3 linked regions of the Arabidopsis thaliana genome follow. The protein of the gene in region 2 interacts with the protein of the main gene of each other region in a pairwise test. Each region holds a gene or a part of one and is shown on either strand. Other genes may lie near its edges.

The links.
Region 1: the proteins of PABN1 (region 2) and AT3G43590 interact in a two-hybrid assay, tested with the Arabidopsis thaliana proteins (one large-scale study listed by BioGRID).
Region 3: the proteins of PABN1 (region 2) and AT5G06770 interact in a two-hybrid assay, tested with the Arabidopsis thaliana proteins (one large-scale study listed by BioGRID).

The regions. Positions count from the first base shown.
Region 1 is NC_003074.8:15,503,985-15,515,306, reverse strand, and holds AT3G43590 (zinc knuckle (CCHC-type) family protein), read right to left. Parts: upstream 5,781-11,322; 5' UTR 5,555-5,780; coding exon 5,240-5,554; intron 5,076-5,239; coding exon 4,935-5,075; intron 4,843-4,934; coding exon 4,681-4,842; intron 4,583-4,680; coding exon 4,424-4,582; intron 4,170-4,423; coding exon 4,053-4,169; intron 3,915-4,052; coding exon 3,681-3,914; intron 3,580-3,680; coding exon 3,052-3,579; 3' UTR 2,733-3,051; downstream 1-2,732. Other genes in the region: AAO2 (aldehyde oxidase 2), read left to right, coding at 49-258, 335-553, 637-1,593, 1,688-1,783, 1,866-1,964, 2,040-2,229, 2,300-2,529; AT3G43583 (uncharacterized protein), read left to right, coding at 8,231-8,533.
Region 2 is NC_003076.8:20,775,929-20,785,987, reverse strand, and holds PABN1 (polyadenylate-binding protein 1), read right to left. Parts: upstream 6,328-10,059; 5' UTR 6,229-6,327; coding exon 6,073-6,228; intron 5,974-6,072; coding exon 5,871-5,973; intron 5,792-5,870; coding exon 5,669-5,791; intron 5,602-5,668; coding exon of another isoform or gene 5,593-5,601; coding exon 5,534-5,592; intron 5,290-5,533; coding exon 5,098-5,289; intron 5,014-5,097; coding exon 4,895-5,013; intron 4,793-4,894; coding exon 4,747-4,792; 3' UTR 4,431-4,746; downstream 1-4,430. Other genes in the region: AT5G51140 (Pseudouridine synthase family protein), read left to right, coding at 1-6, 219-297, 393-475, 586-651, 875-931, 1,026-1,154, 1,318-1,526, 1,612-1,682 and 1 more; AT5G51130 (S-adenosyl-L-methionine-dependent methyltransferases superfamily protein), read right to left, coding at 2,087-2,176, 2,370-2,438, 2,526-2,591, 2,669-2,756, 3,028-3,286, 3,411-3,458, 3,660-3,774, 3,871-4,092; AT5G51110 (Transcriptional coactivator/pterin dehydratase), read left to right, coding at 6,608-6,982, 7,307-7,502, 7,581-7,672; AT5G51105 (ECA1 gametogenesis family protein (DUF1278)), read right to left, coding at 7,985-8,356.
Region 3 is NC_003076.8:2,087,366-2,097,646, forward strand, and holds AT5G06770 (KH domain-containing protein / zinc finger (CCCH type) family protein), read right to left. Parts: upstream 5,637-10,281; 5' UTR 5,423-5,636; coding exon 5,344-5,422; exon of another isoform or gene 4,815-5,343; coding exon of another isoform or gene 4,802-4,814; coding exon 4,741-4,801; exon of another isoform or gene 4,214-4,740; coding exon of another isoform or gene 4,155-4,213; coding exon 3,572-4,154; 3' UTR 3,338-3,571; downstream 1-3,337. Other genes in the region: AT5G06750 (Protein phosphatase 2C family protein), read right to left, coding at 1-189, 559-880; AT5G06755 (uncharacterized protein), read right to left, coding at 1,482-1,720, 1,802-1,922; LEA4-5 (Late Embryogenesis Abundant 4-5), read right to left, coding at 2,389-2,778, 2,862-2,948; EML2 (Emsy N Terminus (ENT)/ plant Tudor-like domains-containing protein), read right to left, coding at 6,782-6,828, 6,918-6,981, 7,079-7,147, 7,225-7,452, 7,658-7,726, 8,253-8,411, 8,524-8,632, 8,727-8,836 and 1 more.

The sequences.
Region 1 (11,322 bases), on a different chromosome or scaffold from region 2:
AGAATCAGTTCCATCAGCAGCATTTTTAGCAACACTTTGTTTTTGCAGGTTGCTGATACGCAGAGACATGCGGATGCTGCAGTAAACCTTGCAGTTGTTGAATACGAGACAGAGGATTTGGAACCACCAATCTTATCTGTAGAAGACGCGGTCAAGAAATCTAGTCTGTTTGACATTATCCCTTTCCTTTATCCACAACAAGTTGGTGATACATCAAAAGGAATGGCTGAAGCTGATCACCAAATTCTCAGCTCGGAAGTATGTAATATAGTCCTTTTTTACTGTAAAAATTAGATATATATGTTCAACCGTTGTAACTTTTGATGTGAAACAGATAAGACTCGGATCGCAATACGTCTTCTACATGGAGACACAAACAGCTCTTGCAGTGGGAGATGAAGACAACTGCATTGTAGTCTATAGTTCAACACAGACCCCTCAGTACGTACAGTCATCGGTCGCTGCTTGCCTAGGCATCCCTGAAAATAACATCCGTGTCATAACCAGACGTGTTGGTGGAGGTTTTGGAGGGAAATCTGTCAAGTCAATGCCAGTAAGTTTTCAAAAATTGTCCTCTTTTTCCCCTCACTTTCTGCAAGAAATGGACCGAAACCTGAAAGCTTTCTACTGTCTCAGGTTGCAACAGCGTGCGCTCTTGCTGCTAAGAAACTGCAGCGTCCTGTGAGAACTTATGTCAACCGCAAGACCGATATGATAATGACTGGTGGGAGGCATCCGATGAAGATAACGTATAGTGTGGGGTTCAAATCTACAGGGAAGATCACAGCTTTGGAGCTAGAAATACTAATTGATGCTGGGGCAAGTTATGGTTTTAGTATGTTTATTCCATCAAATCTCATAGGGTCGCTAAAGAAGTACAATTGGGGCGCCTTATCTTTTGATATCAAACTTTGTAAAACAAATCTTCTAAGCAGAGCAATCATGAGATCCCCGGGGGACGTGCAGGGTACGTATATTGCTGAAGCCATCATCGAAAATATAGCCTCTAGCCTCTCTTTGGAGGTTGATACAATAAGAAAGATTAATCTCCATACACATGAGAGCTTAGCCCTGTTCTACAAGGATGGTGCTGGTGAACCACATGAGTATACTTTATCTTCGATGTGGGATAAGGTTGGCGTATCTTCCAAGTTTGAGGAGAGGGTTTCTGTTGTCAGAGAGTTCAACGAGTCTAACATGTGGAGAAAACGAGGGATATCTCGAGTACCTATTATCTATGAGGTTTTATTGTTTGCTACTCCAGGGAGAGTAAGTGTTTTGAGCGATGGGACGATTGTTGTTGAGATTGGTGGAATCGAGCTAGGACAAGGGTTATGGACAAAGGTGAAGCAGATGACTAGTTATGCTCTTGGTATGCTACAATGCGATGGAACGGAAGAACTCTTGGAGAAGATAAGAGTTATACAATCAGATTCATTGAGCATGGTCCAAGGAAATTTCACAGGAGGTAGCACAACATCCGAGGGAAGCTGCGCAGCTGTTCGTCTCTGCTGCGAAACCTTAGTCGAAAGATTGAAACCTTTAATGGAAAGATCAGATGGTCCAATCACCTGGAATGAGTTGATTTCTCAGGTATTCTTCCTTGATTTGCTGCTTATTGTTGGTGTCAACGAATTAAAGATTGAGCTTCTTCATTCTGATTCAAGATTTTAATGTCCAAACTCAGGCTTATGCACAATCCGTGAACTTATCAGCTAGTGACTTGTATACTCCAAAAGACACTCCCATGCAGTACCTGAACTATGGTACTGCGGTCAGCGAGGCAAGCTCTTTTTTCCTTTCTCAAAAATCTGAAATTGGAGTGGAGAAATGAAGTAACTTTGGTGTTTTCATGGTGTTAATAGGTTGAAGTAGACCTTGTGACGGGACAAACCACAGTTCTACAGACAGATATCTTATATGACTGTGGAAAAAGTCTCAATCCCGCTGTCGATTTAGGACAGGTAATATATATGAAGAGAGACCTCAGAAAGCAAATGAATCTTTTTTGTAATGTGTTTTGTGTGTTTCTGCTTCAGATTGAAGGATCTTTTGTTCAAGGACTTGGGTTTTTCATGCTTGAAGAGTACATAGAAGATCCAGAAGGACTCCTTCTGACGGATAGCACATGGACATACAAGATTCCAACAGTTGACACCATTCCTAAACAGTTCAATGTCGAGATACTAAATGGTGGATGTCATGAAAAACGCGTACTCTCTTCTAAAGGTCAGTCACTCATTCCTACGCAAAACATATGCAATCAACATTTTTGATCATATTGTTTGTGTAAGTGCAGCCTCGGGAGAGCCTCCGTTGCTACTGGCAGCTTCGGTGCACTGCGCTACCAGACAGGCTGTTAAAGAAGCACGCAAACAGCTATGTATGTGGAAAGGTGAGAATGGTTCCTCCGGTTCAGCGTTTCAGTTGCCAGTTCCAGCTACAATGCCGGTTGTGAAGGAGCTATGCGGTCTAGATATCATTGAAAGCTATTTGGAGTGGAAGTTACACGACAACTCAAACCTATGAGTAAACAACAAACAATACATGAAAGAAGGTAATTTGTTTCCTACTGTTTTCTTAAACTTGGAGATTAATCGCTGTGCAGGAGTATCTTCTCTTTTGCTCTGTTTATTTCTTTGAAAACACTCTGTTTCTGGTGTTGATGATATGACTTGGGATTTTGCCAATTTATAAAGTAGATAAATTTCGAGTAAGAAAAAATCAGCCACTTTCAGATGAATAAAGAATCAGTTTATATAAATGATAATAGTAATGATCCTTGATAACAAATACAAAATTCTCTTCATAATAAGTTAAACAAACATAACGAAGGAAAATCTAAGTGACTTGGGTAAATGAGGACTGAACAAACTACTTGTGTAAGAGAAGAGAACAAAACAACAAGAAGCTGCACCAAAGCCCAAATCAAATACAAGAGGTCTAGGGAAGCTACCTTTGATCCCAGGAAACACACCATCAAGCATAATAGATTTCATGCTAGATAGTCTCCAGCTTTGACCTTGATCATTGATCATCATATAATTGATACTACCACCGTTCATAGTTCCCTGCAAACTCACTATAGCGGTTAGCTCTTCCATGCCTTGGTGGTGCAGGTTCATAACTGTGATTCTGATGATGATGATGAAGATGCTGATGATGATGATGATGCTGATGAGAAGGCTGCCACCTTGAAGGTGAAGGACCCGAGTGATGCCTACTAGACTGAGAACCCGGGTAATGCCCACCAGAATTGAATTTTGGCGATCTATAGTTATGACCAATATGTGTAGAGGGTGACCTGTTATAACCCGATGGTGTAATGGGAGACTTTGGCCTTCTCATCTTTCCTCTTTGGAAAGATTCTTCTTCCGGTTCCTCTGTGATCCAACCGCCTCTGTGTTTTCGTTTCCTTGGTGAAGTCTGGGGCTGTTCTTCTTTATGTGTTTTCTTCTTCTTCTTCTTCTTTGTCTTTCCATTGGACTCATGGGGAGTAGAATCGTGTTCTGAGTTCTCTTTGTTTTTCTTGCGAGATTTATGTGATGTTGTAGATGTTTCACGGTCTCTCTTAGAAACCTATATGAAGAAAAACGGAAACGCTGTGAGTCATAACATGTGAGAGAAAGGAAAGAAGTGAAGACCTCAAAGCACCAAATGTAGAGAGAGATAGAGCCTACCTGGGAGGAATTGGGGCATTCACGAGCGAAATGTCCTGATCCATTACATCTGTAGCATAAAGTTTGTGACTCTCTGCCATGTGAAGTGCTTATGCTCGACGAATTCGGACATTCACGTGCGAAATGCCCTTCTTCCCCACACCTATAGCATTCACTGGCTTCCCTACTGTTAAAAAGCCTTTCTGGAGTGGCAGAATCATTTTCGTTGCTTTCTTCATAGTGTCTACCACATGCCTAGAGAGAAAATTACTTGAGTCTGGAGTGGCAGAATCATTTTAGGCATATTTATTTTAACTAAAATGACATTCTGTTTAGAGAGGAAAACTCAATCCACAGTGTGGATAATTCAAAATCAGAATCTCAATAACTTACCAGTCCACTATGACCCAGTTGACCACATCTGTAGCAAGATACAGCCCATGACAGTGAATTACCAGGTTCAACACAGCATAGATGGCCAAAGCTTTTACAGATATAGCATTGTACATCCTGGTCAAAGAAAATACAGCAAAATAGCATTACCATATGATCTATCTTATAGCAAAGCAACCAGAAACTCAAGAAAGGTGAAACCAGCTGTGTGTAGAAGATATATCTCCTCAAGTTAAGGAAACTCAGGAAAAAAAATGATAAATCCAAACATGGTCATGATCAGTTCCTTTTCGTTTAAACAGAGTTTGTTTTGACTAAATTTTTAAAAACAAAACAGTAAGGTATATGAAAGAAATCATCAGCAAAGTTACCTTCAAATCTTCCTTAGAGTACTCATACTTGCACAAAATCATGTCATGTCCAAAGTCTCCACATCTTAAACATACAGCTCCTTTAGACCCGTTTTTGTACTTATCCGGACAATCTTTAGCTCGATGTCCAGTTTTTTTGCATATATAACAATCATGTCCCTGTCAAAACAACGAAAACTTTACTCAGCAACCATATGCAGTAAAATAAGACTAGTCCTAAACCTTCCATGGGTCTACCATCAAACTTAAAACCGCACCTTTGAACACTGCTTTGCACCATGTTCCAAACTCCCACATATAAAGCAAGGCTTTCTACGCTTAGTAGGAGTTGGACAATTGAAACTTGTATGACCTTGCTCCCCACAACTATAACAACTCACCCAACCAGCATCAGGAGGGTCAAAGTATCTTGCTCCACGCTAACAACAACAACAACAAGACCCCAACAATGGTCATCATCACAAACAAGTTACACAATTTTGAGATAAGAGCAACAATTCAATCAACTCACAAGAAGCTTTTTCAGAACCAAATTGCTAGCTGTTTCTTCAGTTTTTGGTTCATCAGATCTCTCAACCTCATCATCCTCTCCTTCACCTTTTACTATCTCCTCCACCACTTTCTCTTCATCTTGGTCATTCCAAACAATAGGCTGTTATACAAAAACCGATAAGCATTAAACACTACTGATTCTCAAATCAATCTTTCCTATTGCAAATCAAAGACTACTGATTCTCAAATCTATAAAGCAATTAATACGACAATAATTGAAACTGTAATGAGAAGAAGATATAGAAGAGAATCGTTCATACTTACAATTTCATGGTCAGCTTCAAGCTTATTTCTCTTCATCTTCTTACTACTCTCAGACTTTTTAACCTTAGACTTTACTCCATTAACCATCACAGTACTAACTACACCAGAATCGGAGGAGAGATCAGAATCAAGCTTGTTCCCAACATCACGCCTCGATAATGCTTTCTCTAAAATCTTCAAGCTTAGATCTTCATTAGCTTCATCATCATCTTCTTCTTCGCCGTTGTCGACTTCTGTAATGGCTACTGGATCTTCTCTGTCTTCGTCTTCTCCGTCATCAAAAACAAATTTTTCATCTTTATTCTGCCTCGGCATGATTAAGAGATCCAAACCCAAAATCTAATTTCTAAACCCTAGAAATCGGATTGCGAGGATTAAGCGGCAAAGGCTTGGAATGATTTGGTTCAGAAAAGTTCGAATTTTTTTTCTTTCTTCTGTGTTTTTTTTGGGATACGGCGCAGGAAGAAGAAGATTAGGGTAGGGTTTGTTTTTTGGTCGTTTTACAATTTTACCCCTCGATAAGTTATTATGTTTTTTAAAAATTAACTACAACTGTAACTATAAGTGCTTAATTACGGTTGATATAAACATAAATAGAAATAAGTGCTTAATTAACTACAACTAACCAGATCATGAACCGTACTACTTAGGTAGTTAGTTTGAAATAGAGATTTTTTGGAGCTAATTACATAGTTTAGCAATTATTAGCATGTATTATGAACATATTTTTGGTATATAATAATATCAAATTCTATATGTGACTTTCGTGGAATTCGAATGGTGAATTTAGAGGTATGCACTAGATGGCTTGGAATAAATTGTGTATTAGCAAATTGGAAGGTGGTTTAGGTTTTCGGAGTATAGATGATTTTAATTCAGCTATACTATCGAAACAGTTATGGCGTTTGATAACGGTTACAGATTCTCTTTTTGCAAAGGTTTTCAAAGGGAGATATTATCGAAAATCCAATTCTTTGGAAAATATAAAATTATACTCTCCGTCTTATGGATGGAGAAGTCTTTGTTCAGCTAGATCTCTGGTTAATAAAGGACTTATTAAAAGAGTTGGTTCAGGGGCATCTATCTCAGTTTGGGAGGATCCGTGGATTCCGGCTCAATTCCTGAGACCAGCAATAAGTAATGGTTCAATTATTGACCCATCTTTAAAAGTCCAACATTTAATAGATAGCCGGTCAAATTTTTGGAATATTGATCTTTTGAATGAGCTCTTTGATCCGGAAGATGTCCAGCTAATAAGTGCATTGCACTTGGGTACGTCAACAAAAGAGGATACTCTAGGTTGGCATTTCACAAAATCCGGAAAATATACAGTTAAATCTGGTTATCATACAGCAAGGTTAGAAAAATTGGAGGATAATTCATCTTTCATTGGTCCTGAAATAAACGTTCTAAAAGCACATGCTTGAAAGTGCAATGTCCACCTAAGTTACGACATTTTTTGTGGCAAACATTGTCAGGTTGTGTCCCTGTCACGGAGAATTTACGGAGAAGAGGTATAAATTGTGATACAGGATGTGTCAGATGTGGCGCTATTACGGAAACAATAAACCATTCTCTGTTCCAATGTCATCCGGCTAGACAGATATGAGCTCTCTCAAAGATTTCTACAGTTCCAGGAATTTTTCCTACGGATTTTATTTTTACGAATTTGGATCACTTATTTTCAAGAATACCTTCAGAATTTGATTCATCTTCATTTCTATGGATAATCTGGTATATTTGGAAAGCAAGGAACGAAAAAATATTTGAAAATGTGGATAAAGATCCGTTAGACGTATTATGTTTAGCAGAAAAAGAGGCACAATCATGGTAGTTAGCTCAATTTGAGCTCAGTTCCGAAAATAACGGTTCCATGGGATCGGAAAAACAAATTTGGGTCCAGAATATATCACACGATAATATTTATTCTGGTTTGCGTTGTTTTGTGGACGGATCTTGAAAAGGAAGCTATAAGTTTTCTTGATTATGGTGGTTTTGCACATCATCAAATGGAGACTCGCCAGCCATGGGAGCTGCTAATCTTCGTAGAAGTCTTTCTCCACTCCATACAGAAGTCGAAGCTCTACTTTGGGCGATGAAGTGTATGATTGGTGCCGACAACCAAGAAGTAGCATTTTTTACAGACTGTTCAGACATGGTGAAGATGGTGTCTTCTCCAACCGAATGACCAGCGTTTTCAACTTATTTGGAGGAATTAAAAACCGATAAAGAGGAATTCACAAAATTTTCTTTATCTTTAATTTCTCGAACTGCAAATGTAAAGGCGGACAAATTGGCACAAAAAATTCGTACTGAACCGCTTCATGTCACTTTTGTAAACAATTTCCCTCACAATTGGCTCTTTTGAACTCTAAATAAAATCCGTTGACAAAAAAAAAAAGTTCTATATGTGACTGAAGTTTATATTTTCATTTTTATAATCGCAATTAAAAAGTTGCTTGCACAATCCATCATTCGTTATTTTTAAAATTGCTTGCAGAATCAAATTTTAAAATATTTAGAGGGATCAAACATTTTTCTAAAAATTATTGTTTACACAATCCATCATTTGTTATTTTTAAATATTTAGAGGCGTCAAACCTTATTCAACCTATCTCCTCATATAATCTTAACATGCCGTTTATTAAAAAGATATTACATATAACCCACCATATGCTATAAATATTTTAAATATAGATGTAAAAATATCAAATTAGAGTAACTATAATTTTAGCTTTTTGATCTATTAAATTTTGGGAAATTTGCATCAATAACCTACAAAAATTTAATAATTCACTAACTAACCAAAAGAAAAAAAGTGGATGATATTCGATATATTTTCTACAATATTTGTCATTATACCCTTGTTTCTTACCATCACAACCATCTCCACCACAACCACCGCCGCTGTCGTCATCACCACTACCACCGCCGTCGCCGCCATCATCACCACCACCACCGTCGCCGGAGCTACCACCCTTACCGGAACAAATGCCATCACCGGAGCCACCACCCCATTGTCGGGGTTTCCATTGTCACCGGAGCAATCATCGTCCGCCGGAGAAACCACCGTCACCGGAGCCACCACCGTCGCCGGAGCCACCACCGTCGCCGGAGAAACCAACGTCGCCGGAGCAACCATCGTCACCGGAGCCACCACCCCATTGTCAGGGTTTCCATTGTCACCGGAGCTTCCATTGTCACCGGAGCAACCACCGTCGCCGGAGCAACCACGCTGCCGGAGCCACCACCGTCGCCGGAGTCACTTCCGTTGCCATAAGGAGTAGGTTGTAATTACATATCCCACATGTGTTAGTTACTGAATTATGTATGTTATAGTGCTAGTTATTTAATAACTTTTGCAAATATGGTTATTCACCTAATTCACTCTTAAATTTTTTGATATTCTTTCGAAATATTAAATCAAACTATTTTAAAATGTTTCAAACTATAGTATTTAAAAAGTTTATTATAATATATAAAATTATGAATTTCAAAAAAAGAATTGTAGAAAATAAAAAAATATAAATATTCAAATACTTATAAAGATCATAACTCATTTCATCATAAAACATTATATTTAACCCGCCATCTATTATAAATATTTTAAATATATAAGTTTTTTAAAAAGAAGCAAATTAGAGTTTTTAAAAATTTTTAAATTTTGATTTATTAAGTGTTGATGATATTCTTTAAAAATATCAAGTAAAACTATCTTAAAATATTCCAAACTAAATATTGAAAAAGTTTATTGAAGTATATAAAATTTTACATTTCAAAAAAAAAGCATGAAATTGAATATAAATATTCAAATTATGACCCGTTACTCAGTCAAAATTTTTGTTTAAAAGAAATATATTACTAAAGCCTAAAGTGTTGACCCGTTACAATTTTTTCTTTATAGAATGAACAGTTTATATTCTTTTGACACCGTTACAATTAATTAAATTGCATAAATTAGTATTTGACTTGTTTATCTTTAATGAGATGAATTAATTTATCATTGTTTATAAACTTTTATGAGTTTGGAGGGGATTATATGAATTAAATGACGCTCTTTAGAATGTTTTACAGAGTAATATGGTCTAAGATTAGGTTTTTTTGAGTATATGTTTTTAGAAAATTCAACAAACAATTGTAGAATAATATGTTTTAAATATGTTATTTTCTGAGTATATTAATTTTGATAGAAAAATTTTAAATTGTTCTTGAAGATTTGTGATGATAGAAGGTTATTGATGCCAAAGATTTTGTTTCTATTCAGTTATCAAATATTGTGTTTGTATATGTTCCATAGTTAGAAGATTTAACTGAATATTTAATCTTATTGATTATGAAAACTATCTCAATAATCACTTATCTAATTAGTTGATATTATTGTTTACGAAATCTTTCTCAATAATCACTTATCTAATTAGTTGATATTAAAGTTTATGTAATGTATGAAAACCCGTTTGATGACTTGACCCGCGAGATTAAGAAGTGGATCATAACTTTAATGATGTGGATAAATTTGGTCTATGATTAGATTTTTTTAATGGCATTCTAATGTCATTTGTTTACAATACTTTCCAAATAATAATATACTAGATCTTGACCCGCACATACGTGCGAGATTTCATATTTTTAATTTAATGTAGATTATTTTGTTATTTTGTGATATATATTATAATATAATGTATTAGATATGAATTCGCATATACTTGCAAAATATAAAAATTGTTTAATAGATTTTAAAAATATATTATATTTTGTTATGAGTAAACTTTGTAATAGTATAGATATTATAAAGTTAACAGTAATGATCGAAATTCAATTGCGTTCGTGTATAGTTACATTTTAAGATCCGAACTCACACGGAGAAATTATATTAGTAAGATAACATTAAGATATAACTTAACTGTAAAGTTAGTGATTGTAAGTTTTTATTTTCTAAACTAATCAAAACATTACAACAGTTTGATTACCGGTGTAAAATAGGATATGGATTTGGTTTTAGTTTGGGTTATTTCATTGCTAGGCGTAACTATCTTGGAACGCAAAAATCCATAATGTGATCTAACTATCATAAATTCTTCGTCCCATAACCCGTCTGTATTTGTGAAATAAAAATACTACCAACCCGTATCCATCACAAATAGAATTTGTGTCACAAAATATATACATATATGGTTATGTGTGTAAATAAATTTATTTTATATAGAGCTCACAACCCAAACTACTCAGTTGGATATTTAATTTGATGTTCAGTTTGGTTTCAATTTATTTTATATAGTGCTTTCGTCTCTTTTCATGTCGTTCGTGTCTCATAATTTGTATTTTCATTTCATTCCATTAAAAATATGTTTCAAAATTCTTATTTGCTTACCTTTAAATACCATGTTATATATGAATGAGTTTTGCGGATTAACATATATGATGTTAAAGTTTACAAAAATATGAATAGCATTTTAACAAATAATTTTGTAAAAAAAATATTTTAACAAATAATTTTGTAAAAAAAAATATTTTAACAAATGTAATAATGTTTATTTCCTTAGCTACATTTCCAATATTCTTCTTTCCCTTGTTTAATCATAATTAATTGGATTTTTGGAATATAATTAAAATTTTGTATAAAAGCAATTTATTACTGCTGGATATGGAATGAAAAATGTATAATTAGTTTACATTATTTCAAAAAGTTTGTGCAATAATATATTATGGATTTATTTAAAGAAAGATCCGGTTGAAAAAAAGAAAAACTCAAAAAAGAAAACCCAAAATATTTCGAAATTATTATGTACAATTTATTGTTTAGATATTTCTAAATGAACGGCATAATGATAATTAATTTAAATTAGTTATTTTTAGTTTAATTCATAATAACTATAAATCTTTGTAATATCTAATCTCGTTTTTTAGAAATTGTGATATTTCAACCTTAAAATTTTTGTTTTATTTTTTAAAATACTTAACCCAAAATTCTAAAATTGTATTTATTTATCTATTGCAAATTATGATTTTTTATTAATGGTATCAAAGAAGTTTTATGATTTTAAAATCTTTTAAAATAAAAATTAACTTCCAAAATGTTAGTTTAA
Region 2 (10,059 bases):
GTTCCTGTGAGTATTCTTTCTGTTGGATTGTTTTCACTCTATTTGGTCTCTGGAGAATGTGAAACACTTTTTGTTCAGAGCATAAACCAAATAATCTGATTCTCTTTCTGTTAGTACTATTCGAAGCATTGTGAAACAATTCCCATTATATGTTTAATGCCTTTGTGGTGTATGATTGATACTTTGGTAATAATGTCGGGCGTTTTCGTATTGTATAGGTGCATCCATGTGGTCAATACCGTAAGAACACGATTGTTGGCATCCTTGATGCTGAGCATGACCTAGGAACTCTATTTCGTATCCAGCTAATAGTATTAGACAAGGATAAATTGTCAAAATGTTCCTTGTTTAAAAAATAATACAATACGAGTTATCCTTGCATCATTTCACAGCTATTCACAGATTAGACCGTTTGGTTTCTGGATTGCTTATCATAGCAAGAACTGCGGCAAAAGCTGATTTTTTCAGGCAACAGGTACTCGAACAAGTTGGTCTCATTTTGCTTGGCCATACCATTATTCCTAAGATGCTATTTGCTCTGGTAAATCAAAATTTCATACTTACTACTTATCTTGATTGTTTCAGATTGAGGGTGGAATGGTGAAGAAACGTTATATTGCAAAGGTTATTGGCGTGTTCCCAGAAGATGAGGTTTGAAGTCCTTTTGATGTTACTAGATGATTTTTGTAACTGTCTCTAATTTCCAACTTCATACAGTAGCACGAGTGATATAAGTCCACATTAGAAAACTAATTTGAGTCCAGTCATAATATCTGAACCTCAAAATCTACCAGTTATCTTGAGGGCGTTATAATATGGAGAACACTTTTGTTTGGAGTTCACTTGATGTAGCTGCATGACTTTGATGTGTCAGATGATAGTCGACGCCAACATAAATTATAATGGCAGCGAAGGAAGAAGTACAGCAGAGGTAAAGCCACATTTTGCCTCTAGTTATACAGCATAAAATCTTCCATTAGACACTTATAAGTAAAAATATTGGAATGTGTGTATGGTTTATGCAGGACGCCAATTCAAGTGGTGACGATAAGAAGGTGAAGGGGAAGCCTGCATGCACGAAGTTCACTAGAATCGATACAAATGGGACTCATAGCCTCGTCTCATGTGAACCAGTGACAGGGCGAACCCATCAAGTAAGCAATTGATTATACATAATACGGATTTTAGCAGCTGTTATACATATATAGTGGTAAAAACTCACAAAGCAACGATCTTTAGATCTTATTAGCCATGAGGATAGTGGATAGAGAGAGTTTGGCCTTTTGGGGTTTCTCATTTTGGTTTTGACGTTTGTAGATACGAGTGCATCTACAATATACAGGGCATCCCATAGCGAATGACCCTCTTTATCTCAATCAACACATAGATAATCTTGAGACCTACATTGCAAAAAGAATCGATGCGGGTGAGAGAAAGATTGTCTCCCCAGATGACTACGTGTATTCAAGCGAAGATTTCAGCATCGATCCAATGTGTACGAACTGCCCAAAGTTGATCCCACAAGGGTAAAAAAAAAAATGCTAAAACCACAACCGTGTTATTGTTTTCATCCAAATGGTGTCTCATGTTTCTAAGTTCTAACTTATGCAGATATGAGGAGCATGACGAGGCTCTCTGGTTACATTGCGTTCAATACTGTGGAACTGGATGGGAATACGAATGTCCTTATCCATCTTGGGCATCCCTTTAGCTTACAATTATTTGACACTGTAATTCTTGTTACCAACACTTGTGGCAACTGTATTGTATACATTGTTCTACAACTATGCTGATTAGTGCTTACATGGAAGGGTATCAAGTTGATTCATTGTATTCAAAGATTCTTTCATTTATCGATTCAAAGTTTTATGTCATTATCATATAAAACCGCGTACAAAAAGAGGACCAATGGAATTAGATTAGTGAGCCTAAGCTGTAGCAAAAAGATTACATATTAGATATGAAGCGACTTTTAGTTGCCTTTTATATCTTGTGTTCAACCATGTCATAATTTGATTTTCACAAGGCTATTCAAAAACTCAACAACTTGTCCTTCTTCTTCAATGAGGCATCTGGTTTGTTATGTTCATTTCTGGAACGCAAGAATCTGTCTATCAAACCCTTTGCTTGCACCGGACAAGCTTGATGTAAGATCTTCCACTGTTCTAAACCCAATCTGTGCCAAAACCAAAACACAAGTAACGGAACATGAGGATCCGATCACAGACAGGATCAAATGACAACAAAATAAGCCAAGACTAAACTCATTACACAAATAAGTTTTGAGCTAGATTTAATCTGACTCTTAATCCAACTTTGAACAACACTTAGACTATTGCATGGCAGTATAACAGAGAAGTAGAGAGTACCTTATCAAGAAGAATTTCTTGGAAACGGTCTGGTCGTAAAACAATCGTTCGGTAATTCATTGCAGTTGTCTGCATACACACAAGGCAAACAAATACTAAAACTATATATCTAGCTAACTTGCGCAATTAGAAATAAACTTGTGTATATATACACACCTCTGAGACACGACGATTGTTTTCATAAGATTTCCAAGGCTGAGGTTCCATTACAAAGATACCACCCTGAAAAGCAAAGCCAACCGTCAGTTGCGCATATGAAAAGCAAATAATGGGCACATGATTAGATATAATATAGTTACCGGTTGAAGAAGACGCCAAATCTTTGAAAATAAGGTGATTAAACCATCATCACCCCAGTTCAAATGAACCCATTTTGTCACACTCAAACTGCATCGAAAAGAACATGTCAGCATAAGAAATCCAAGACAGAGGAAGTTTTGATTGGAACTAAAAATGTGGCCCTCCTTCTAGAAAGGCTTAGTTACATAAGCTAACATAACTAGAAACCTCCTGTAAGGCTTTTCTCAACTACAGATAAAATTTCATATGCACTTTTAGGTATGAGCATTACCAAAAGAAATGGTGACTGTTCATTTGTTTTTATTCCTCCCAAATGGCAGAAACCAAAAGTACAAGTGACAAAAGGAAAGGGGTTTACCATAGAATTGTATCATAACGATTGTCGTCAAGATTTCGGGTTTGAACAAAATTCTCTTTCTGAAACGACACAATCTGAGACAAGTCTTTAGTTTCTGCACTATCTGCCTTTGCCTCGCCATTGGAGAGAGAAACAGATGGCTCCTTCGATCCATGTACTCCATCGGCACCCTCAGAACTAGATTTCTTTTCACTAGGCTTAGTAGAATTCTGCATTCTGACAAACTTCCTAAGATGCCAGTGAGCATCCTCAATGCGACCTTCAATCAAAGAAAACATAGTTCATTTAGTGCAGACTTGAATGATAATGTAGTTAAGAGTATAATTCAGTTCCTACACAAAGCAAAACTTGGAAGATATTATGACAACCAATTATAGTCTTACTTGTATCAATGTCAACTCCAAGAATGCTCCGGCAACCGAACTTTTTTGCTGAAGAAGAGCAAAACAATATCAGCTAACGACTATATAAAATTATGGATGCTGCCAGAGAGATTTCAGACACAATGGAAGTTCAATCACACTTTACTATAGCATTCTCATAAGGACAGGTATAGCTACAACAACATATCTATTACTATAATGGATGGACATAGATAGGAACAAATTATGATATTGATAAGAAGAAGATACCAATATGAATAGTCATGATGCCGCTGTTGCAGCCAATGTCAAGACAGTCTTTGCCTTCAAACCATTCCTTCTTCAACACTTTAAGCCGAGGATCCTCATCCGTGTCATTGCTTATCTAACACATTATGTTGCCAAACGAATCCAAAATCAGATACTAAACCAAAAGATGAGCAGACTATGAAGGAATTTGAAAATATACTACGAAACTCACTCGGTAGCCATAGTAGTTTCTGTAATTTCCGAAGGGATAAACTTCTTGATTCTTCTTCTTCTTGCTTTGATTACAATTTCCTTGTTGTCCTTGTTGTTGCTTCTGCTTCTGCTGTGTTGGGACTTTCTCTTCATTAGCAACTACTTTCTCAACACTCTTCTCATTCTCATTACTTCTGTTTCTCTTCTTCTTATTCTTCTTCTGATCGTTGTCCCGACCCATTTTTTTCTCACACGCGTTGATGAACAAAGCTCGCGAAGTTAGGGTTTCTTCTATGTTATCGCTATCAGCTAGATTCTTAGAATCGAAACAAAACGATTAAGTCTAAACAGAGAGATTCGACGAAGCTAGCTCCTAGAGAGGTTTTTCTTCGAGGTTAAGCGGCGCAGAGCGAGGAGGAAGAAGAAGAAGAAGAACCGAACCGCCTTTGAAAGTCCAAAAGGGTTTAACGAGTCTCATATTTAAGTAATCCTCTCTTTTTTAGTTAATACATTCTTTAAACCTATTTATGTAAATATACGAAAGTTTCCTTTTCTTTCACCGACGTGGCCAAATTAATCTTAGAGAATTAACTTTTGTTTTTTTTTGGTCAATATGCATCAAATCTAGAACAATGGAAGCTTGCGAGTTATTGTGAAATCGTGACTCGTGTTTGAAGATAATAAAAACAAAGGAACTCATCAAAATGTTGCACTTGTCATCAAATATTGTACAGAAAATCTAGAATATAATTCCCCTCTCTCTTCTGCCATACAATTCTTCAACTCATCTCTGTTAATCGAAACAACTGCAGCGTCCGATGAACCGTGTTGATGATGATAAGCTTTCCCGAAAACGGAGAAGCAGCTGCTACTTTTTTAACACCAATTTGCCTAATCAGTACGGTCTGTAGCGCATAGGCCGTCTGAACCTGGGAACTCTCCTGCACAAACCATCAACCATTGTCAATTTTATGAACAACCATGATGAATCAAACAAATGGACTTTAAAAGAGAGGATAGGCAGGTAAGGTTCTAGAACACACCCATAAGCATATGGAGGATAAAATGGAACTCCTGGCATGAATCCCCTCATCGGTCTAAAGGGACGCCCTCTTCCTCGAAATTGCCTCATTCCAGGTACATTAGTCCTCTTTGCAGATACCTGAAAATAGATTAAACAAAGTTTAGTAATGACAAATCGTAATATGGAAAATAATTAACTACATCGTATTGAACGAGTTTGCACCTTTATCTGACGACCATGTAGTTCTGACTCGTTCAAAATAAGCGAATTCTGAACAGCTTCTACTTCCACAAATTCGACATACGCAAAACCTTTAGGTTGACCAAACTTATCTGTCAGAATTGTAACCCTATTCACTGTCCCACATGATTGAAAATGCTGCTGGACTTCCTCTGGAGTACATGCATAGTCCACCTAATATACACAAAAAAACAAAGACACAGGATATCTAAAGAATCAGCTTCACAGATGGGAGATATGAAGGCTTTCTGAAATATGAAGGAAAGTTAGTTTAGCAATTACTAGAGATAAAGAAATAAACAACAAGCAGCCTCCAAATTTCATTGATACCAAAGCAATAAAACACACAAACTTTCTTTAAAAAAGATACAAACATATATGAGAAACATGTGAAAATTAATGGTGGAACAAGCCTCACATTGCCAACATATATTGAACGCGAATCCACTTCTTCCTTCTCAGCCGCACTAACACCACCTGAAGGGTCTTCATTGATATGCAACAACATAAAAGGTATTGACCCAATTAGCTAACTGACAAGACTCCACAATACTATTAATGATTTCCTTCTCATACTCAAACTCCAGTAAATTTCTAGACAGATTCATTGATTCACTAAAAGATTCCAATATGTAAACCCAAAGCAATATCATAATCAACAAGACAAGCTTTAAACCTAATCTATCAATTTAAAGGTTAATGTGAAGCTGCGCACAAAGATTCAAGATTTTACGTATCAGTTAATAAGTACAAACCTTGACTAGCACCCATATCTTTCTCAGCCTTGGCTTGCATTTCACGCAAAGCTCCAGCTTCTTCCTCAATCTCCTTAATTCGTTTCTTCATATCCTCCAAGTCCTATCAAACAATCAAAGCAAATAACAGACTAAATACAGTAAAAAATAAGAAGAGTCTCAATTGGATAAAAGTAAATTATAGATCGAAGAATCACAATACCCTAGAGCTAGAGCCAGGTTCAAGCTCCTCATCTCCGGCGGCGGCACCTTCTTCTCCGCCGTGTTCTTCGTACTCTTCCGTATCCATCTCACCTTCTTCCTCTTCTGGGATCTCTCCACCGTACACCTCATGCTCTTGCTCATCGTGCACCGGCATCTTTCTCTCTCTATATCTCTCACTCGGCGACTGTCGTTAAAGCGAGAAACAGAAGTCTCGGAATTTTAGGGCTTGAAATCGGGAAAGAAGGGAAGGTTTGTTTGTAATTAAAGATACCCAAAAAGGATACTTTCGGAATTATGAAATCTTAAGTAGATTCACCAAAAGTGGACACAAAAGTACAATCAAACCCAATGGGCTTCTCAGATTAAAACGTGACGTGTAAAGTCGGTCCCACGAAAGTTTATTGTGGTTCCCATTAGTCATTAGTGATTACGTGGCACCTCACCCATTTAACTCAGTCCAGTGGTCTGAAAATCGTTTCGCTCTCTAAAAACCAAAACTCTTATCTTCGGTACAGAGCAAATCACAGCTCCCGATGGCCGCCACGTCATCATCACCGCCGTGTAACATCTCCGCGTCCTCCCTCCTCCTCCGTCAACCTTCTCGCTCAATCCTTAAAGTGTTCGGTTTATTACCACCTGTAAGTAGGAATAACCGTAAACTCGGCCGGTTAACGGTGACCCGGTCTAATCTGGCGCAGGATTTTCTTGGTGACTTCGGAGCTCGTGACCCTTACCCGGAGGAGATAGCGAGTCAATTCGGAGATAAAGTGTTGGGATGCCAAAGCACTGAGCACAAGATTTTGATACCAAACGCATCTGTTTTGTCTCTCTCCCAGCTTCAGTGTTCCCCTGTTTCGTCTTCACAGCCTCCTTTGTCCGGCGATGATGCCAGAACTCTCCTCCACAAGGTACTTATACTATTTCTCTCTTAGTATAAAAATGTTCGAGTTTTGATTTTACAAGTTTGTTGGTTGATCAAAATATTGTGAAAATGTTATTGATTCTGCGTTTAACAGATTTCTAATCTATAAAGATAGAATTGTGACCCAAAAATATAGAAAAGCCAATGAAAATTTTAGTATCATGAGGGACATATTAGGAACAATGGTTACGAGATTAAAAAAAAATGAAATGATTAGTGTTGATAAGGCTCATGTTGGTGTTTTGGTTCACGGTTACCACTCTAATGATGTGGTACATCAATCTCAATGATTATTATGTAAACGTTTTAGGTTTTGGGATGGAGTATAGTGGATAATGAAGCGGGTGGTCTGAAAATAAGGTGTATGTGGAAAGTGAGGGATTTTGGGTGCGGTGTTGAACTCATAAACAGGATCCATAAGGTTGCTGAAGCTTCTGGTCATTACCCTTCTCTTCACTTGGAAAGTCCTACCCAAGTTCGAGCTGAACTATTTACCTCTTCTATCGGTATGTCAAATATTTGATGTTCGAGTTTGAGTTTTAATATATGGTTTCTTAAGACGGTTTGTTGGATGAATAATGCAGGAGGGTTGAGCATGAATGATTTCATAATGGCGGCTAAAATAGATGATATCAAGACTTCTGATCTTTCCCCTAGGAAAAGAGCTTGGGCGTGATCTTCTTTTCATTATTTTGGAACATTTTTGTTTGATAGTATGTAATGTATGTGATGTATTCTAAATTGTGTGTGATCGGTCTACATGTCGAGTTATATAGAAAGCATTGTCATAACCGCATAAGAGATATCACGCAACATGTCTTTGAGATTCATTCATCAATCAAAAGAAGAAAGAACATCAATCATATGGAGCACAATATAAGAAATGAGACATTATTATTAGATTAAGACATTATTATTATCATTTCTTCTTCTAGAACATTCTGGGACTAACAAAAAATTCGAAAAAACACAACTACATTTTTGCATTCTAATAGGCGGTGGTGGTTGGAGGACTAGCCATTTTGGAGCATTGGTGTTTCATCATAGGAGGGAAAAACGGGTTGGATGGAAGATTTGGTAAGCAGTTAGCTTCAGCGTCAAGGAAAGCTTTACAACAAGCAGGACCAACGCCTTCAAATTTGCCGGACATTACGGCTTGTTGAATCTCTTCAAAGCATCCCGGCAAATCCATCACTGTTGACCAACATTTGCTCAAGTCGGGACTTCCTGCCATACCGGGACTTGGTTTGAACGGATTTGGAAACGGGAACATGATTGGGGGAAACTGCGGTAGCTGAGCATTAACGGAGGCTGCGATGCATACAACTACTAGGAGAGAAACAACACTCTTGATCGACATGATGAATATTTGGGGGACTATGCAACAAGAGAAATAGATGACTTGAGTTTTGTTTGATGAGATAAAGTTATTGGCTATGAGATCCAATTTATACTGTAATTAGTTTGGCGAAACGTATTTTTAAAAGTTGCTTTCAAAATCAAATTTGTCGTTTTAATTTTGGAAGAAAATCAAAAATAGTCAAAACGTTTGATGCACATTGAATTTGATGCTGTCATATTTCTCATATGTAAAGAAATAAATCTTTCCTAACAATATGATAGGAAATAATACAAAGATGACAGAAGGGAAGCAGTAACAAATTTTAAGTCTCTTTCGTCTTTATTCATCTTGATATATATCATCTCCTAATTTTTTTTTTGAGATTTTATTTACATTCATAGCAAGAAAAAGAAAAAAATCTTTTCAATTTAGGAATTGTTTTTCTTCCAACTTTTTGGAATCCTCTATATAGTAAAAGATGTGGCAAGCCCATAATTGTTCTCATCATTTTTATTTTTCATTTATTGAATATAATATACTCATTGTCAAACACTATTAATTCCACTATCCTTATCCTTATCCTTATTATTTTTTAAACCAAACATATTTTAATATTAAATACACCATCCAAAAATAATATTTTCGGATTTCTAAATATTTAGCTTATAGAAAGATTTCTTATTTATCAAATAAATTAATTTAATCAAATTTAAATTTACTATTTCCCAAATTACTAAAAACTTAACTTTTAAAATTAAAACATTAAATTATATAGCCCATATTTTTATCCTATAAATTTCATGCAGTATACTATATAGTGTCTATCTATTCAACACAATCATAGTTTTTTCCTATAATTTGATTTAAAAAAAATCATTCTCCTCTATACATAAGAGAGTCTTTAGTGTTTAGGATATAATCCCACAATTTTTCTCAAGTATTTTTTTCTTTAATTCTACTATATATCATTATTACCAAACATTTTTAATTGCAAATACTATTTATCTTATTTTCTTAAAACTAATTTTTAAACACTCATAAAAGATTTTTAATATATAAATTTACCATTTTAATAAAAGTAAATAGTATAAAATTTACGGCAATAATTAGATAAAATTTGTTACCATTTAAATTTGAAGATATGTTTGACCCTATATGAATCTCACATATGTTCTCAAACATTTGGATTTTAGAATAAACTAGAAATGGTTTCATACGTTAAACAACTTTGTATTGGTTCTAGTTTCACTTATTTCCGTTGTCTCATCATATGCAATTGCAAGATTCAATACAAAGGTTACAGAAAGTGAAATCAACGTCATATGAACAAACAAAGATGTCAATGCATCATTTTGCTTTGAGTTCTTGAAATCATCCTCTCAAATTGCAACACTAGATGTCTGGTCTAGCCAAATTGAAATCATCATTTTGTTTTATATGGATTTTTGTTTAAAAACGAAATTAAAAATCGTAAAATTAAACCAAATAATTTATATTTTGCTTTCGATTTATGAATGAAATCAAACAACAGAAAATAGCAAGAAACAATTTTTTATTTTGATTTTCGATTTGACAAAAATTAAAACAATAAAAACTGAAGTCGTGTAAGATCTGACTCCTCCACCAAGATCTGACTCTAAGCACATTGTTTAAAAGCATCAAACCATATAATTTGTATTTAAACCACATATACAACATAATTAATCATATATATAAATCCA
Region 3 (10,281 bases), about 19 Mb from region 2:
AATCACCAACATTAGCGATAAGCAAAGTCCCTTTCCAAATAACTCCAACCAAACAACAAGATCCAACAGCTGCAATCAACGGTTTCAACCCGCAAGTCCTTCGCACAAGCGTGAGAAACCCTTCCTCAGTAGCAGAAAATGCAGCTCTTAAAGCCTCCTCTGAAATACAACTCCTTTCTCTCGAAACTCCTAAAAGATCAAAACTTTAATCAATAAGCAGCTAATGAAAACCATTGTAATCCACAAAAGGAACAAGACAAAGCTACAAAAATCCAGAAACGAACAAACAGAGAGACACACAAGACAAAGATAACCTGCCAAAAAGTAGGTAGCTCACCAAAAAATGATAAAGAAAAAGTCAAGATTCACTTCACTGTTCATCAGATGCATAAAGATTTCAACTTTCTACAAAAATTATCCGATCATCAAAACCAAATCAAGAAGAAGAAACACACACAGACACAGAATATCAAAGTGGACTTAGTGTTTGACTTGAAGAACACAAAAAGAGATTTTGTTTGACTTGAAGAAGACAAAAAGAGATTAAAAAAAACTAACTCATCAAATGAGAAAAGAGATGATCAGAGATGTATCTAGAAGCTTCAGGACCACCATGACCATCGTAAACTCCGACGAAAACGGCACCGTTTCCAGTCTCGACTTGACTATGATCTTCAATAACCTCGTTAGCTTGCACAACAGCAATAGAGAAATCTCCGAAAGAATGTCTCTCGAGTTCTCTAGACCAAAGAAGGGAGTCACCGGAGGAAGAAGAGTCACCGTCGTGATCATCATCATCGTCATCATCTCTGTTCATACGACCGTATCGCCGCATAGGTCGTAAACAAAAAAGAGCCATTCTCGCTAACCAGGAGAACATCCCTCATTTGCTCTCCACGACCACGAGAATTAACTCTTTATTTTAGGTCGCCGGAGACCACACCGGAAAGAGGAATCTCGTGATTTGTTGGATCGAAAAGCTTGAAACAGGTGAAGAGAGAAAACGAGTTAACGAATCGGAGATTGCGAAAACAAAAAGCAAAGTTTGTTCCTTTTTTATTTTCGATATGAATTGAATCTTTTTAGATGAAACTGAAGAAAAAAAATGTGAGATTTTTGGAGAAAAAGGAAAAGACTTTCGTTGGTCTTCAAGAGTGAGAGAGTAGTTGAAGCAAAGTGTGAAAAATATGATTTGTGTAAATTAAAGTTGTCTCTATAAATTAAAATTAAATTCAATTGATGACGTGATTTTTGGTACGTATTACCAAGGATCTTACATCATATTTTTGTTTTTGTCGATTTATTTAGAAATAGAAGTCTAAAAACGCGTTTCTTCTTAAAAAAAGTTAAAAGCATTTGACAAACCTAAACAGAGGATCAACCGCTCAAGCTCAGGTTTCATAAACACACTCTTCATCACCAAATCCTGCCCAAAAGGCATTCCAAAATCAGCCACAAACTGGGCTTTGAGCTTGATAATATCACGCTCCTTGCGGGTGATCCCTTGATGAGGAAGTAATGGGAAACTGATTAGGTTCTACATCATGAGTTTGTGGTCTTGACTTCAAAGTTGTTGGATCATCAATATCAGCTTGGATACTATGAGATCCCAGTGGAGTCTCGTGCATATCGTTGTACTCCATGTTAACAAAAAACTGAAAAGCATCCAAATCAATCAAAGCCATCTCCACTCCATGTTTAGCCTCCTCCTTTCCAAAAACTGAAAGACATTTTTCTTCCTACAACCACAAAAAAAAACACCAACGAAGATCCAAATCAGATTGGACGATTATAGAGCAACCGAAGAAGGAAGAAGAGTCAGCGTGAAAATCGAAAACGTACCAAAAACTGTAAAGGTTATAATTGTGAGTCTTTTGACTTTGGTTTTGTACTTCAAATACTAATGTCGGATCAATGATCATCTAATCGTTAAAAATCTTCATGGTTCAAAACGAAGTGACTATTTTAAGAATATTCACGCATGGTACATGTTGTTTTATACAAACCCATTGCGCAGAGAAATAATTTTTCTTTGATAACATAGTAGATTAATTCAAATATGATGCGAATGCTTCTCTTCAAAAACTTAGCATTAGCAATGTTTCTCTTCAAAGTTCAAAAAGTTAGCAATGTATTGTTATTGTTAAGTTGCATGGGCACAATATTGTTAACGGATAATTTTACTACTGTTACATTGCATGAACATTCTACTCATAAAGTAAGACTATCATCCAACAACAAAAACCTAGATGAGATCGAAGTCCTACAATTATTCAGAAGCACAAGAAAAAGAAAAAAAAAAAACAGAACACGAAAGTAAGACAGAAAACCACGAAATTTCGATTCAACAAAAACAGAGCAAATAACAGAACAAGTGAACAACACCGTTTATCCAGTATATCCCCCGCCGGTTCCGTACCCGGTGGCACCACCACCACCAACGTGAGTGTTATGAGCGGTTGTCCGACCAGTTCCAGTGTTCCTTCCAATCGGGTCGGTCACAGCCGTGCCCTCCACAACGCGGTCGGTCAGTTGTCCCGTTCCGTGACCAGGCAGAGCCGACATCTGATGTGTCCCAGTGCCGTGTCCGACTTGTCCAGTGGTCGAGTGAGTGGCCGTCCCCAAACCTAAACCGGTTCCGGCTCCAGCCGCTTCTTTCATGGCCGCGTTGTGCTGACGCGTTTCTCTCTTCTGCATCTCAGCTTGATTGATCTTATCTTCTTTAACCTGTGTAGCCATCTGTTTCTGAACAGGGTCTCGTGTCTTCATCTTCTCCGCCTTTTGAAGACAAAACAAACCCAACGTTACACCATTTTTATTATTTTACATCAATAAATTAATAATAACCACAATTCTGTTACCTTTTCCTCCAAGGTAGCTTTGGTTTTGTCCATGCCAGATTTTGCAGAAGCTGCAATATTCGAAGCTGTTTCTTTCATCGACTGCATTTTTACCAAATCTCTCTCTTTTCCTTTAGCGAAATTCAAAGATGTTACAAAGATATCTTCTGATTACTTTTGTTTATTGTTTTGCTCACCGAGCATGTCCCATAGATATAGCCATAGGCCTCGCGTTCGTCACGATAGTTTAATATTTAATTACGTTCTTGACGACACGTCAGTGAGACGTGTCATGAAAGAAGAGGAAGAAGAGGTGGTAGGCTTTGTGTTTCAGTTATTGGTCCTACACGTGTTGGAAAGCCTTTGAGTCGTTGAGAAGATAGATGTTGACGCGTGTTAGGCTTTAGAGTTCGCCTCATGTCGGCGGTTAACCCGGTTTTGTAATCGATAGGTTAAGACAAAACAAGTATATTATTGTGCATGATATCTTAAGAGTTAAGACAAAAATAGTATGTAGCTGTAATATAAGGGTTTTAACATATCAAAGTCTTTTAACTGTGATCGGTAACTTACAGAACTCGTCGAATCTTCAGAGCTCAATACAGAATGGGCTAAAGTTTTCAAAGCGAGTCGCATAAAACAAATTGATAAAACAAAAAGAGAGAGCAAAAAGTCACAATGATAATGGAGCTAACAATGCATAATCTGTTCTCAAGAGTCTAAAGACATAACTAAGCGATTCCTGACCTGCGCAGCTCAGATTCACCATGAGCAAAATGGCATCTATCTCCATATGTACAGTTCCCTTTAGAGTACCTATCACAGATCTTGGTTTTGTAGTTGCTCCCAGGATGTGGTTTCCCTTCAGGACCACCAATCCCTTGAGGTTTCTTCACTGATCCAAGCCTCCCTATAAGCTCTCTCACCATCCCACTCGCTACATTGATCTGTTCAAATGTTCCTTCCAGCTCGATAATCTTCAAGTTTGGGTCTCTTTCATGATCTTTAATCGATAATTTTGCTCCTGTTTCACGGCATATCTGTTTGGAATGGATTCCACCTTTTCCAATGATGGCACCGGCTAAAGAAGCATCTACACTGATCTTGGAAGTAGAAGCACCAAAGATTGAAACAGGGCCTGATCCTGGATCTCCTCTCCCTGAGAATCTGCCGCCGGGACCACCAGATCCTTGCATATTTCTGGAAACTTGAGAAACCGGTGGTCGGAGATTTGTCATCTGCGCTGCAGCATTGTACCCACCGGGCACATAGTGCAAGAAGTGGCAATTGTCACCAAATGGACATCCAGAAGTGCTGCAGTACAAACCATAATGCATCAGCAAATTCATTCGAGAAAGAACAAAACGACACATCTCCAAGCTGTTGCACTATTGCTACCTTCTCGAAAAAGCTATAGCGTTTTAGTACAAAGATAATGAAAGAAATTTATAAAGTAATAAAACAGATTGTAGTCATTATGCATCACCGATGAACAACACGTTGCACAGGAGCCGAAAGACTCATGGATAGTTCAAAGATAATGCAAGAAGAACCTTACTTGAGAACAATGGTTTTATGCTGCATATGCAAAATTACAGTTTCCTTACCATCAAACAGAAGAAGAATAAACAAATTGTTTACAACGACAGCCACAAAAACAAGTTTTGGTTGATTTTGTATATTAGATTCACCAGTAGAGTTCAGTTCCAAAATTATACTCCATATAAGCTTATCATCCATTCTTAGGAGGAATCACAGTTTGTTACATTGACTTTTTAACTCGTTTAAGGATGAACAGTGCTACGTACCTGTATAACAACTATCCACTTCATTAGCACACTTTATACAGTATTACTTCTTAATTTCATGATCCAATCAGGAAAAAAAATAGATTTATAACCTGAAAAATTTAGTGCATGGCTTGGATTTGCTTCCTAAACCAGTTGAAATTGATTCCATCTCTGTTGCAAACATTAAGTGCTTTTACTTGGTTAAACTTTTCTACAATTTTCTCAATACATATCATTTGGACTTGGCACCAGTATACCATTCTGGTTTTGAAAATTTCCAGGGTTATAGAGTTTTGAAATTGAACTCAACAGCTTGAGTTGATACAGATCAATATATCAATCAAGTAAATCCAGTAATGTTGAGTGGTCACAAAGGCTAATGGGAGTTGATTGATGAATCCAATGAATATGAGAAGAAGGGTAAGCCAATAGCACAACACAAAGCAGAACAAGATACAAACTTCTCATATCAATTGTCTCCCAACTCTCAAGTAAGGTAATACCAGACTGAAGCAGAAAAAGGGTTTGCGACTAATCTCTCTAATGAACACAAAAATGAACAAAGGAACAACCTTTACGAGAGACAGAGCACACATTGCAACTAGAAATGAACAAACATAAGTGATACCAAAACATTCTCTCTTGTTGTGAAGATCTCGAATTTCTAAAACCCAATTGGAGACAATAGGAAGGAGAGGAGTGAAAGAACAAACCTTGCTTAGACCTCTTGAATCCGCCATTGGAGTTGTGAGAGGCAGCAGCTTCAGGGCGTCCTCTCTTACGAGCATCCATGTCTCGATAAGATCGATTGAATCGGAGTAGGTAGAATCGAAGAAAGATGAAATGAGATCTCAAAGTTTTGTGATATGAGCTTTGCGATTCTTATCCTTTTAAAATTCTATTGGGTTTATCATCATCATCATCATCTCCACACACACAGCTCAACAATATAAATGGGGGATAGAGGTTTGCTTAATTTGTTAATAATATAAATTAATTCGTGGAACACCAAAAGACCAGGAGACTAATTCCATTATTAATTATATGGATTACTATAAATTTAAAGTATATACATTAACATTAGAATGAATTTATGTTTTGACAATAATAGAGTTTATTTGATGAGACTGGAATCAAACTTGTACTCATGCAAGTAATAAACACCAAAAAAATATTCAACTCTGATTATTTGTACACATATTACTTTATATTTATTGTTAATTCACATCCAGTGGTTTCAAAAATAGAGAATTGTTAAATTTGCGCGTTTTAATTGTTTTATCATAGTCACATTAGTTTTAATATATTCAAAAAATACAGAAAAAATAATTTGGGTAACGAGTCATTTGTAGAAATTTTGGAAAAAAATCGTTAAGTTTGGCGCGTTTTAATTTTTTATCATAATCACAGTAATTTAAACTAAAAAGTAGTATTTTTTTCTGATAACTCTATCAATAACATTCAATCTAAAAAAAATACGGAACATATAATTTGAATAATCGATCGGTTTAAGATTGCCATTAAGATTGAACATATAATTGCCATTAAGAATTAAGATTGTCATTTTAACAAAAGAAAAATTATAAAAAATTTCTAACATCGGGTCGATAAGACGATAACCCTGATACTAATTTATTGTTAACCGTTCTTATAACCATTGAATATATTTTTTTAAAACAATAAAATAAATTGAAGTAAAGTAACCATTGAAATATTTTTAAAATTGAAGGATTCAGTGACAGGTGATTTATGTTGATCTCACTTTCCATCTTATATTCTTGCTAATTGAATCAGATTTTGAATGTTATGCTCAAAGGTCAAAAGCCTCTTCTCAATATTTACATGCTTGGTTCGATTCTTTTTACATTGTTTAGACAGGAATTGGGGATTTGAGCAAGTAAATTATTAACGATCCTGATGGCAAGCCTGATGATGATCACACAAGTTCAGAATTTTTTTTTAAAAATAGTGTTTTTACAAACAAAATTCCTAACGATTATTTTCATACATTCTGAAACCACAAATTAGAAGAATACTACTAATTGTTCATCATATATGAACAAAATCATTTTCTGGGATCCCTTAAAGCAAAACAGAAGAAAAAGAAATATTGCTAGTCATTTTTCCTAGGGGTGATGGTGTCATACATACTCACCCCAGCAGCATTGGAAGCTCATGCGAATACGGTTCTTCTCCATCTGGTTCACCAGCACAAATTATGTTGTTGTTAGTGATCTTAGTGCATGACAAATAGAAATAAACAAAGGCCGCTGTTCACATTTATTACCGCTTTCGTAATCAGAAGCATCCGTAAGCCTTGCAATGGCAGCAATAAGCGCCTGTTCATGTTCCTATATCATCCAATAACAACAACACCAAGTTTCACTTCACTGTTTCTTTCAATCGATATCTCGTCACAAAGTTCTTATCAATTATCATATCGCTCACCTTGAGTAGCTTCTTGGCCTTATCAAGCTCATGTGGATCAGGAAGGTTTGAATCAAAAACTCTCTCGACCTAATGCGAAAGATTTCGACATCAAAAACCCTTTTTGCCTAAAGAGAAACAAAATGCAGAGAGATAGAGATACCTACCTCTTTCACAAGTGAGTCTGTGTTGAACAATTCAATCTCACCGAAAAACTTCCTCCCACCACCGTTTTCCGTTGCTAAATGTTCTCTTCTTGGCTGAGTTCTTGGACCTCTCCCTCTACCACCATGGCTTAAGGTCCTTCGATTCCCACGAGTTGTTCCACCGCCATGTCCTACATTCAAAGTTACCCCATCTTCCTCTCCATCCCATCTTATATCTTTCGTTGGAATCTACAATTATATAACTAACTAACTTCAGATTCTGCTGAAAATGTTTTCATACTAGGTGGATACACTATACAAATGTTTCCCACGTAATCTTACTAATGAAAGCTACCTCCAAAAACAAATGTAACTTTACCCAAAAGACATTCTTGGCAGCATTTTCCACAAAAAACTTAAAAACCTAATAATATCAAAAACTCGTGAAGATTACCTCATTAAGATCAACCCATTCCCATGTCTCATTCACTGTGTTTATATCATATACCAACGCATGTCGACCCTGCGAGAGAACAATGAATGCATCAATTACAATATACTTAAGCTATGTTCAACGCTAAATACAGTTCCAAACTTCTAGATATATCAAAGTCATAGTATACTTTTCAACGCCTCATATGCACATTAACAGTAAACACCTCCTTTCTTCAATTCATCAAGAACTACACTATAGAGAGACTTGATTAACTAGAGAAGTCTTTCGACAAATGCCTAAACCATGATCCTAGACTAATCCAGAGTACCCCGGCTCATTCTGCCTAAACTTCCTTTTTAACTAGTGAGCTATCTAGCTAAGCGATTCGACTAGTTGCTTAGCTTTCTACACAGTTACAATCAACCTAAAGTAATTGCAATGCTCACTCACTAGAGTAACTCTGAACTATACGGTAAATTTCGATCAGGCTTTGAGGCCTTGGAGTCAGATATTCGAAGTACAGGAGACACCTCGACACACAAACATATATAATGCTGAACATATGAATTTCTGATTCAATCTCAATAAAAAGGTCTCAGCCATCAGAAGTTACCTCATTTGCATTGTATTGTGTAACTACTGCTTCATAAAAGCTGTTGTCTTCAGGCCATTTTGTCCACACTTTTCTTCCAATAAGAGCTTCCGCAGGTTCATTTGCTGATACTACACGGTTATTGAATGACTTACTTCTAGTAGAACCAATCGACGGATACTGCATGTGTATCACAAATGATATGATCAGTAAATAAACAGAAAACCATATGCAAATACAGATATCCTCTGCTTGTTGTTCTATGACCAAAGATTAAAACAAGAAGTCTTACGGATTGGAACGTCTTCTGTTTCTTCCGAGAAGCTGAAAAAGTCGGACTAGGATGAACATCGAGGGACTGATGTCTAACAACCTGGTTTCCACCTCTTGGTCTCGAATCTCTGTTGGTCCAGTTCCATCATACAACACATTATTACAAGATACAACGAAATCTAGATTCATAGCTTTACTATCACAAATGATCAGACTCGTTACCTTATTCTTTTGATAAGATCATCATTATGGACATTGTTCAACAGTTGTCGGTTTTCATCATCAGATATCCTCAATTCTTTACGTAGGTTTGTCATCACGGTTGCTTTATCCTATAAAATGAAACCATATAAGCCAAATCCTTTGTCTTTTGATGGCAAAAGGAAGAAAGAGGACTTACCCAAGAAAATTCATCAGCCTGTGCTTGAAAAGCTCTTAATACAGCAGAATAAGCTTCCTGCTCAAGTATATGAATCTGCGCTTCCATATTAATGTGTAGACCTACCATATACTTTCCATCCAAATGAAACCAACCCTTCTTCTGAAATGTAGAAAACACTTTATAACATCAATAGTTTAACAAACTACTAAATTTTCAGGTACTTCACGAAAAACATTGGCACTAATCAGATTCATGAATAATTTTGACAGTCGAGGTCTCATGAGAATGTAGGAGCTTATTGGTGGACTTATTGTATCAAGAAATTGGATAACTTTAGTTTAAGCGAATATTCGGACAGCAAAAAAAATAGACATGAGATGATCAAACAATCTAATAGAATGTGAAAAGAATATCTTAAACCCTAAGAAAGAGAATAATTTAGTAAAACCCTTTTTTTTAAACTCCAGTGATATTTCAAACCCTAGAACTGTTAGATCTCTCAATGGACAAAAGAGAAATGTCTTAAATCGCTCAAACTAAGTACAAAACAGAAATTATACCTCCTTATTCAGAATCCTGTCGTAAAACAGCAATCTTTATACGAAACCCTTAATTGTCGAAGAGAGAAAGATTGACTCCCAAACGCAGAGGCTATAAAGAGCTGATTGGATCCGAAGTGAGTAATTCGTAGGGAATTGAAGAGAGAAATTGAAAGAATTTGACAAAAAGGAAAGAACTTTTCTAAGTATTGGTAGAGATTGATCTTGATAAAAAGCGGAAGTGCAGTGTTTTGAGCTGGCTGGGCACAGCGTGCGATGAAGAGAGAGAGAAGAGAAGATCGAAGACGGGAAGTTCCAAGTTGGAGGAGAGAGAAACCTTAGTTTGGTCGGAAGCAGCTTAAGACAAGACGATGCGTTTTTGTTTAATTTCATTTTGGGCCTATTTTATGATAACATAGGCCTGTTTGGCCCAAACTGTTAATGAAAATATGAAATGTATGTTTTTTTTAAGGCACCTCTACTGGAGTCTCTAAAGTCTAAACTAAGACTTGTATTTATAATAAATAAAAGTTGGTTTTTATGCTAAAATTGTTTAGAATCAGGCTTGTTAATTTAATGTTTAAATTTTTTATATATCATAAAAAATAAAATTATCTATATATAAGCTCCATTATGCATAAGCTTAAACTATATATGAATATTATTTTTAATTGATATTACATAAAGTTAATAAATAATTTTAAATTAATGTAGTTTTAGTTAATACAATTATATAATTTAGGAAAAACTGAGATTTTGAAAATTAAAATTTACACTTTATAAATTTTATCAACATTTTGATATTTTAAATATAACTTGTTTTATATGTTGTCTAGCATTTTTAAGGTTACACTAT